Macaca fascicularis: one gene and its partner. Each later gene encodes a partner of the first gene's protein in a complex. Links are inferred from orthologs where the notes say so. Each region holds a gene or a part of one and is shown in the gene's direction. Other genes may lie near its edges. The genes, in order: BAG3 and HSPB8.

Region 1 (4,489 bases):
TGGAGGAGGTGGAAGGGGAGACAGGAGAGGCAAGCACACTCGGTGTAACTTTTATTGAAAAACATCCATGTACAAGTGGACCTGCTCAGTTCAAACCCATGTTAAGGGTCAATTGTATAGTAATCTGTATGTATGTAACCTGGTGATGACCAGTCATTTCTCTTTTTCTTTCTCTCTCTTTCTTTTAAAGAGACAGGGTCTTGCTCTGTCGCTTAGGCTGGCATGAAAAGCACAATCACAGCTCATGGCAGCTTCAAACTCCTGGGCTCAAATGAGCCTCCCACATCAGCCTCCTGAGCAGCTGGGACTACAGGCATAAGCCACTGCACCTGGCTTATTTTTTGTTTTTGTGGAGATGGGGGTCTTACTGTATTGTTCCGGCTGGTCTCAAACTCCGGGACTCAAGAAGTCCTCCAGTTTTGGCCTTCCGAAGTGCTGGGGTTACAGGCATGAGCCATGGTGGCAAGCCCTCATCAGTTATTTTTCTATGATTCTGTCTCGCTGTCCCCTCCTTACAAGGAAAGTAATTTTGAAACAACCAATCCAGTCTTGGTTCTTTGTTTCTGCTTTCTTCAGCCCTTCTCTGTCTATAAAATCAACCTCTTCTGCTCAGCTCATGGGAGCACTTATTCTAATTTAATGGAGGTGTTGCCCAATTCTAGAATCACAAATAAAATTAAGATCTTTAACAACAAAAGTTAAAAAATGAGAATCAGCAACAACAACAACAGAAAAGATCTTTAAATGTGTTGTAATTTTCTCCTTTGACAGGTTACAAGTGCAATTGAATAAACCAAACAAAAAATGTCATGGTTAGGTTCGGTCTTTACTTCCCAAATGAGGGTCAAGATGTAAGACTGCAAGAACCAACTTCTACCATAAAAAAGATCCGAATCCAAGAAAATGTGATTTTTCTTTAAAGCTGTTCACCGCAACGAAAGTTTCTTTTTAGTCTAGGAGACTAAAAGCCATCAGCTGACACAATCTCTTTTTTTCTTGAAGTTTCCAAAGGAAGGCAGGTGAGTTTGCACTAACTTCCATTTTCTCCCTGGCTTCCTTCTGGTGTCAGATGAGCGTCCCCGCGCTCCTCCCGGACAGCCCTCATGGTCCCCGGCTATCATATATGGGGGGGTTGGGGGATGGGGGTGGGGTGGGGGTGGGCGAGATGGCTTTGTACAGGAAAGAGGGGCGGCAGGCACGGGGAGCACGGGCTCCAGCCCCAGGAACACTCAGTCGGCGCAAAGGAGAGGGAGAGAGCGAGTGCGAAAGCCGAAACCCTCCCGGGGCCACGGAGTAAGCCCCCAGTACCGCTCCTCCGGCGCCCCACCCGCAGGCGGACCCCGAAGACGCGCCCGCGCCCGCCCCCGGCGACTCCGGCCCGGGCACGCGCACGAGACGGCGGGGGGAGGGGCGGGAGAAGGTGGGGGAGGGGCGAGCGGGGAGAGGCCCCGCCCCGGCCCCTCAGCCCCGCCCGCCGCGATTATAGCCGATGACTCAGGGCGGAGCTCCGCGTCCAACCCCGGGCCGCGGCCAACTTCTCTGGACTGGACCAGAAGTTTCTAGCCGGCCAGTTGCTACCTCCCTTTATCGCCTCCTTCCCCTCTGGCACCGAGGAGGCTATTTCCAGACACTTCCACCCCTCTCTGGCCACGTCACCCCCGCCTTTAATTCATAAAGGTGCCCGGCGCCGGCTTCCCGGACACGTCGGCGGCAGAGAGGGGCCCACGGCGGCGGCCCGGCCAGAGACTCGGCGCCCGGAGCCCGCGCCCCACACCCGCGCCCCGGCGGGCAGACCCCGACCCAGCATGAGCGCCGCCACCCACTCGCCCATGATGCAGGTGGCGTCCGGCAACGGTGACCGCGACCCCCTGCCCCCCGGCTGGGAGATCAAGATCGACCCGCAGACCGGCTGGCCCTTTTTCGTGGACCACAACAGCCGTACCACGACGTGGAACGACCCGCGCGTGCCCTCTGAGGGCCCCAAGGTGAGCTGGGCCCGCGGCCCGCCCTGGTCGGCGGCGCCACCTCGACGGCAGGCGGCGGGGAGTGGGTTGGGCCGGGGGGACGCCAGGCGGCGGGGCCCGGTGGCCGGCGAAGGCCCCTTGCGGGCGGACACCGGCTCCGCGCCCCGCCACACACTCCCGGTGCTCCCGGACGAGTCCCCGCTCCGGACCCGCCCTTTACAGGAGTCGGGGCGAGAGGAGGCCCCGCGATCCGGTGGTCCGGGAAGCGACCCCGCAGTGGGTCCGGTGCCGTCCACGGCTCGACTCGGGGCGGAGGGCCGCGTGTCCGACGCTGGCCTCACGCTCCCGGGCTCGGAGGGGGCGGCCGGCCTGGTCAGCTCCGGAGGCTCCGGCCCGCCGCGGCCACTGCTGCCGGCTCGGCCTCCGGTCCCGGGACCCGCGGCGCACCCCGCTGACCGCGGACTCGAGGGGGACCCTCGCAAGCTTGGATGGTGGTTTTTGGGAGGAATTTTACCGCTCAAGTTCTCCAACTTGGTTGAGGGGTATCTTGTTTGCTGTCCCATCTTAGGCACCCAATGACTCAGGAGGCTGGTGTCAAAACATTCATATATATGTGCGCGCGCGTGTGTGTGTATTTTAAATTAAAATTGTATTATTGTTTGAAAGTGCTTTCAATACGAATGTATCCTAGTATGACTTGTAAAATATAAAAGAGGGTGCACTTCTCCCCAGCAGTTTCTAAACTAGAGATCTGAGACTTACAGTTGGCCATTGCCTTACCACATTGCCTCACACTGGAAAGAGAATGATACGTGTATATTTATAATGGCATTCGCTTCCTGCCTTGTTATGGTATTAAAATACTTAGAATTTGTTACCAGTACACAAATAACTGAGTAATGATACTCTTGGGAATACAGCAGAAGTATGTCTCATTTACATATATGCAACGATATTCCTAATCCCCAAGAGCATGAAATTTGAAAACGTAAATTTGGAATGAGTCTGTTAATTTTCAAAAATCATAGTTATACTATTCGTTCAATTTTATATAAATTTGAGCTTTCAAAATAAAAAGTTTTTTTAAAAAAAATGTTATACTTAAAGCGTAATTGTTACTGCCGTCTGGGCAAGATAAAAGCAGCAAAGAGCTGGTAAATTATTTTGAAGATTTTAAAACTCACCAAATTAAAAATACTTTGTAACCCATTATTTTAGAAGAAAGACCTGTATTATTTCCCTTCATTTTAATGCACTTTTTGTTTTAACAATATTGATAAAACTCCGGTGCCCAACAGTGAGACACTGTACAGGCAGCAGTTTACATTTACGAGAGATTACTTGTGTATTTATTCTTGAAAATTAATACAAGAGGCTGTAATTAGCTGGGGTGGGCACAGTTGCATATACCTTTTTGTGTGTGTGTTCAGCCCATTTTTGGGTGAAACTGACACTCATTTCAAACCACCTTTCTTAGGCGTCTGCGTGGATGTACCTGATCTTTAGTGTGGTTTGCAACTATTATTTTGAGGCCTTCTTCCTGTGGACATAGGGACAGTGGTATCTGCTGGCAGCCTTTGTTGTGAGTGAAGATCAAGTTTGAACATAGACATTCCCAGCACTTTGTTCTCAGCATGAAACTTACCCAGCAAGTTGAGATATTCCTGTACCCACCTGGTGCATGGGTTAGGCTGTGGTTTCATAAACCTTATTAAAAGAAAAAAAGCAGGTTTAGCTGCCATTATTCTTCTCAATAAATAAAAAGTAAGAACTATTACATCAGAAGTCTGATGCTGGAAAGGTTTCTTTGAAAATTTCATAGTCAAAATTTTTAAGTTGAAAGGTCCTTGAAGATCTCTTAGTTAGAAGATCTCTTATTTTCTGAAAAACCCAGAGAATTCAGGTGTGACTTTGAAGGTCATCCAGCTAGTACCAATTACAGGGAGAGAACTAATGTCAGGAAAGTTCTAGTAAGAGGTGGTGTGTCTGTTAGAAGTTGGAAGTGAATGTTTTGTGAAACTGAAGCATGCAGGCTAGAATACCTGATTATCTTTGTGCCCTCCTGGCCACCAAGTTATTGGGTCACTGACCTCTGTGCTGTGGTTGCTTGGATTTTGATGATGGGACGTCATCAACTCAAGAAAAGAGTTCTCTTTACGAAGTGAATGACTTGAGACTTGTCAGCATGGCACCAAAACTTAAGGAGAAAACTAACATTCAGCCCATTAGCTGTTTGTGCTTCATTGCTTTCAACCCTGTTCTTAGACGCACACAATATCTGGTTGCACTTGTGTGAATTACACCTTGCTGGAGACTAAATGTAGTGGAGAATCCTAGAATATCATTTTGTATTTGGAATGGGCTTCTCAATGCATCATGAGAAAAGGGCCCTTGCATAAAACAAAGGGTGGCTTTGGAGGAGCTGAGCTGAGGCCCGTGTGAGCATCATCATTTTCAAGAGGAAATGCTGTCAATCAGTAAAAAGCTGTTCATTGAGCATGAGGAGCTCCAGAGACGACCTCTCC
Region 2 (4,495 bases), on another chromosome or scaffold:
ACTCTTACCTCACAGGATTGCTGCTGAGGATTAAATGAGTTCATATTTATAAAGCCCATAGAGCAGGACCTGGCATGTAGCAAACATTATGTAATCGATAACTCAAAATGGAAACTACAAAGGTGCCCATCAGACTGCTAGGTGCTGAAAGAGAATTACCTCATGTATTCCTCATGGCATATCTGTGAATTGACTACTGTTACATCCATTTATAAGGAGGAAAACTGACAATTTGGAGGTGCCTGGGAATAATGTTACTGCCTATAAAGATGCTTTGCTTGACCAAACATTAATCAGATTTCTGAATCTTCTCCTAAGCCCATCTGTGAGGTTCCTTATAAAAATTCAGTTTTGGGCCAGGCGAGGAGGCTCATGCCTGTAATCCCAGCACTTTGGGAGGCCGAGGCAGGTGGATCATGAGGTCAGGAGTTCAAGACCAGCCTGGCCAAGATGGTGAAACCCATTTCTACTAAAATACACAAAAATTAGCTGGGCATGATGGCGGTGCCTGTAATCCCAGCTACTCGGGAGGCTGAGGCAGGAGAATCGCTTGAACCTGGGAGGCAGAGGTTGCAGTGAGTCGAAATGGCACGACTGTACTCTAGCCTAGGGGACAGAGTGAGACTCCGTCTCAAAAAAAAAAAAAAGAAAGAAAGAAAGAAAGAAAAATTCAGTTTTGGCGTGAACTCTGCTAAGTCTGTTTAGCAGCAATCACCCATCTTCGATGTCTGATCACCCTCGATATCTGATTAGTTTCCTCATCCTCCACCATCCCCCAGATGACGTCTGAGCACCCTGGCCTGTCTTCAGCAAGCATCCTCTTAGGTTAGCTGAGCCTGAATCCCTCTGATCCCTGGACTTTCCTCCTAGTAATTTTCCATTCGCTGATCCCACCCCCACCCCACCTGCTTCTTGCCTACAAATTCCCACTTACCTATGACCTACTGGGAATCAAATCTAATCTTTCTCCCTCACTGCAAAATCCCATTGCGGGGGTCCTTACATCTATGGAGAAAGTTTCCCTGCCCAGTAAAGTCTTGCTTATCATACTTTGACAAGTGTCATATGAATACATATATATATGTATAATTTTTTGTTTTTTCTTTACCGCTCTCCCCAGAGGGCGTTGAGGCTTTAGGAGCTTGGCCACCTTGTAACTGGGGATTCCAACCCAGGGACATCCTTCAAATCCACTGGGCTAATGTCTCTCTCTTCCCTTTCTGCAGGTCCCCAGGGGAAAGGCAGGATACGACACGCTCTGGGGAAGGTATTTCCAGAGGGTGACCTGAGCCCTCAGCCAGGCTAGGGGTTATTAATAGCCAGGCCTTAGTGCGCCTCTCCGGGAGGGCGGCTCCAGCGCCGGGAGCAAGCGGAGGGCGGAGCTGAGCGGAGTGGCCAGGGGAGGAGAGAGTGTCCAGAGAGGCTGGTTGAACTTGGACGCGGCCCCTCCCAGCTCCCCCCACAGCCCAGCTGTTCCCTCCGCGGATTCTCCGGGGCTGGTTCATCACCTCCGAATATTCCTGTGACAGGAGACGCTTGCAAAACCCGCCTCCAGTCTCCAGCAGCAAATAAATAGAAGGCTTGCAGCCCAGGAGGAGCCAGAAGAAGTTTCTAGGCGCGTGTGCCCTGGGTTTATTAAGCTCCTGGCTCCGCTCTAGACCTCAGCGGCTCTGGCTGCCAGCCTGGGCAGCCTGGGAGGACGGTGGCTTGCTGGTCTGTCGTGAGGCAGTGAGGAGAGGGGCCCTCTGGGATTCTGCTGGACCTGCCTGGGGGTCACCTTTGGGGTCTGGGACCCCAGCCGAGGGGGCACAACCGTCCCTGGCAGTGGTTGGTTCTGCTTCTCCCTGCAGAAAAGCAGCATTTTCGGAAGCTGAAGAATAAGCTAGCCCAGCCACACCACCTTGTTGAGTGACCTTGGGCAGGTGGTTCTGTCTCTCTGAGCCTCTGTTTCCCTCTGAGCTCAGCAGCCACCATGGCTGATGGTCAGATGCCCTTCTCCTGCCACTACCCAAGCCGCCTGCGCCGAGACCCCTTCCGGGACTCTCCCCTCTCCTCTCGCCTGCTGGATGATGGCTTTGGCATGGACCCCTTCCCAGACGACTTGACGGCCTCTTGGCCCGACTGGGCTCTGCCTCGTCTCTCCTCCGCCTGGCCAGGCACCCTAAGGTCTGGCATGGTGCCCCGGGGCCCCACTGCCACCGCCAGGTTTGGGGTACCTGCCGAGGGCCGGACCCCCCCGCCCTTCCCTGGGGAGCCCTGGAAAGTGTGTGTGAATGTGCACAGCTTCAAGCCAGAGGAGTTGATGGTGAAGACCAAAGATGGGTATGTGGAGGTGTCTGGTAAGTCAGGGGTAGGAGGTCGGCGGGAGGGGGGGTGGGGCGGGGGAGTAGGCCTCAGCCCTGGGAATAGCCAGGAGAAAAGTTTCCTGAGAGCAGACGCTGGGACAGTGTGACACAGGTGACCTCAGGGCTCAGGAATGCAGCCCGCAAAGTTATCTTTATGGAAAACTTCTCTCCCAGCTCCCAGCAGAGATCTTAACCTGCCTGACTCAGCTACTGGGGCCTTGGGGTGCTGATCAATCAGAGTACAGACAGGAAAATAGAAACCACGTTGGGTATTTTGACAGAGGGCATTTAATATAAAGAACAGGTTAAACAGATACCAAAAAATTAAAAAACAAAGAAGAAATGGGATTTCATGCACTCCAGCATCACAACACAGGGTCTAGAAGTTCACGTTAAGGCTGAGCAATGATAGTGTTAATATCCACAACTGGTTTCCAGTGAAACACCTCTCCTTGTCCCAGACAAGGAAACTGAGGCTTACCAGTAATTGTAGTAACACTAACTGGTAACTCTGAGTGCTAACTATGTGCTCAGCACTTTGCTAAATACTGTTGCCTATCATATCTCAGCTAACACAACCACCAGAGGAGGTGGGTACTGTTTATCTTCTTATTTTTTTGCAGATGAGGAAACTGAGGTATGGAGAGATTAATGTAACTTGTTCAAGGGCATCAAAGATTCAGACTCAGGCTGTCTGGGAATTAGGAGGCCAGAAAGAAGGAATGATTTACTGAGCACCTGCTAGGTGCCAAGGGCTGGGCTGACATTCTTATACTTCTTCCCCAAAATCACCCTCCGTCAAGTCCAGAGTAGCAGGGGTGTCTAGGCCCATCTTGCAGTTGAGGAGGCTGAGGCCTAGGTGGGACTTGTTCACAGTCATGCCATGAGTCAGCAATAGGAGTGGAGTAGGGACTGGGCCTATCCACAGCTTTAGGCTCAGGGCTCTCACAGCCACATCCCACCCTGGGAGAAAGAAACATACAAGGGGGAAGAAAGAGCGAAGACAGGAAGCTCAGCCCCTGTTAAGCTGGGCAGCAGAAAAAGCTTTCTTTTCCTTCCCTCCCGCTCCATTAAAAAGAATGTGTTCCCGGCAGAGGCTTGCCTTCCAGAAAATCAGTCAAAGCCATTGCAAACACAGGCTGGGCAGGAACAAGCCCCGGCAATGTTCAGGGGGAGTTTCAAGCCAGTCATGGCAGAATTATAAACATCAGAGGCTCCAGCGGGTGTGGTGGGCTGGGAGACTTGCTGGGGCCACGTGCTGCTGACAGGGTCAGCCAGATCTCTGAGTTGGCTGGGAGCCAGGCACGAGTTCCGAAACTGGCTCCAACTCTAACCAGCAGGATGTGCAAATTACTTTACATCTTTGTGCTTGTTTTGTTTCCTCATCTGGAAATTAGGGTTCAAATGGTTATACCGTAAAGATTGTTGTATTAAATGAGGTGATGCTGTACAATGTGTACCTACCTGTGAACCCAGAAAATCTGAGACATATCTCAGTTCATTTAGGAAGTTTATTTTGCCCAGGCTGAGGACATGCCCATGACACAACTTCAGGAAGTCCTCCTGTCACATGCCCAAGGTGGTCTGGGCACAGCTCAGTTTTACACATGTTAGAGAGACATGAGACATCAATCAATATATGTAAGAAGTACATTGGTTCCATCTGGAAAGGCAGGACAACTTGAAGCAAAGGCAGGAAGATTTGAAGTAGGGAGAGGTTTTCCAGGTCACAGGTAGCTGAGAGACAAATAGTTCTTTTGAGTTTCTGATTAGCCTTTCCAAAGAAGGCAAGCAGCTATGCATCTATGTCAGTGAGCAGAGGGCTGACTTTGAATAGAATGGGGGGTAGGTTGGCCCTAAACAGTTCCCAGCTTGACTTTTCCCTTTAGCTTAGCGATTTGGGGGCCCCAAGATTTATTTTCCTTTCACATTTCTACGACCTGGAACACAAGGAATTAGTAGTATTATTGCCATCGTTGTTGTTATAATGCCAGGCATCCAGGAAGGCCCCAATAAATAATGAATAATAGATTCTCTTTGAAACCTGGGTTCAGATCCCAGCACTGCTGTTCACTAGCATGATGGATGTGGACAAGAAAGTCTTCTCATCCCTCTGAGCCTCATTTCTCCTATCTGCAGAATGGGGATGA

The links.
Region 2: BAG3 (region 1) and HSPB8 share a complex: the UniProt entries of both Homo sapiens proteins name them as parts of the chaperone-assisted selective autophagy (CASA) complex. The link is inferred for Macaca fascicularis from reciprocal best matches to the Homo sapiens genes BAG3 and HSPB8.

What each region holds. Positions count from the first base shown.
Region 1 is NC_088383.1:128,663,200-128,667,688, forward strand, and holds the start of BAG3 (BAG family molecular chaperone regulator 3), read left to right. Parts: upstream 1-1,509; 5' UTR 1,510-1,805; coding exon 1,806-1,985; intron 1,986-2,504; exon of another isoform or gene 2,505-4,489. UniProt on the Homo sapiens protein: Co-chaperone and adapter protein that connects different classes of molecular chaperones including heat shock proteins 70 (HSP70s), e.g. HSPA1A/HSP70 or HSPA8/HSC70, and small heat shock proteins (sHSPs), e.g. HSPB8.
Region 2 is NC_088385.1:126,176,639-126,181,133, forward strand, and holds the start of HSPB8 (heat shock protein beta-8), read left to right. Parts: upstream 1-1,600; 5' UTR 1,601-1,972; coding exon 1,973-2,339; intron 2,340-4,495. UniProt on the Homo sapiens protein: Involved in the chaperone-assisted selective autophagy (CASA), a crucial process for protein quality control, particularly in mechanical strained cells and tissues such as muscle. Displays temperature-dependent chaperone activity.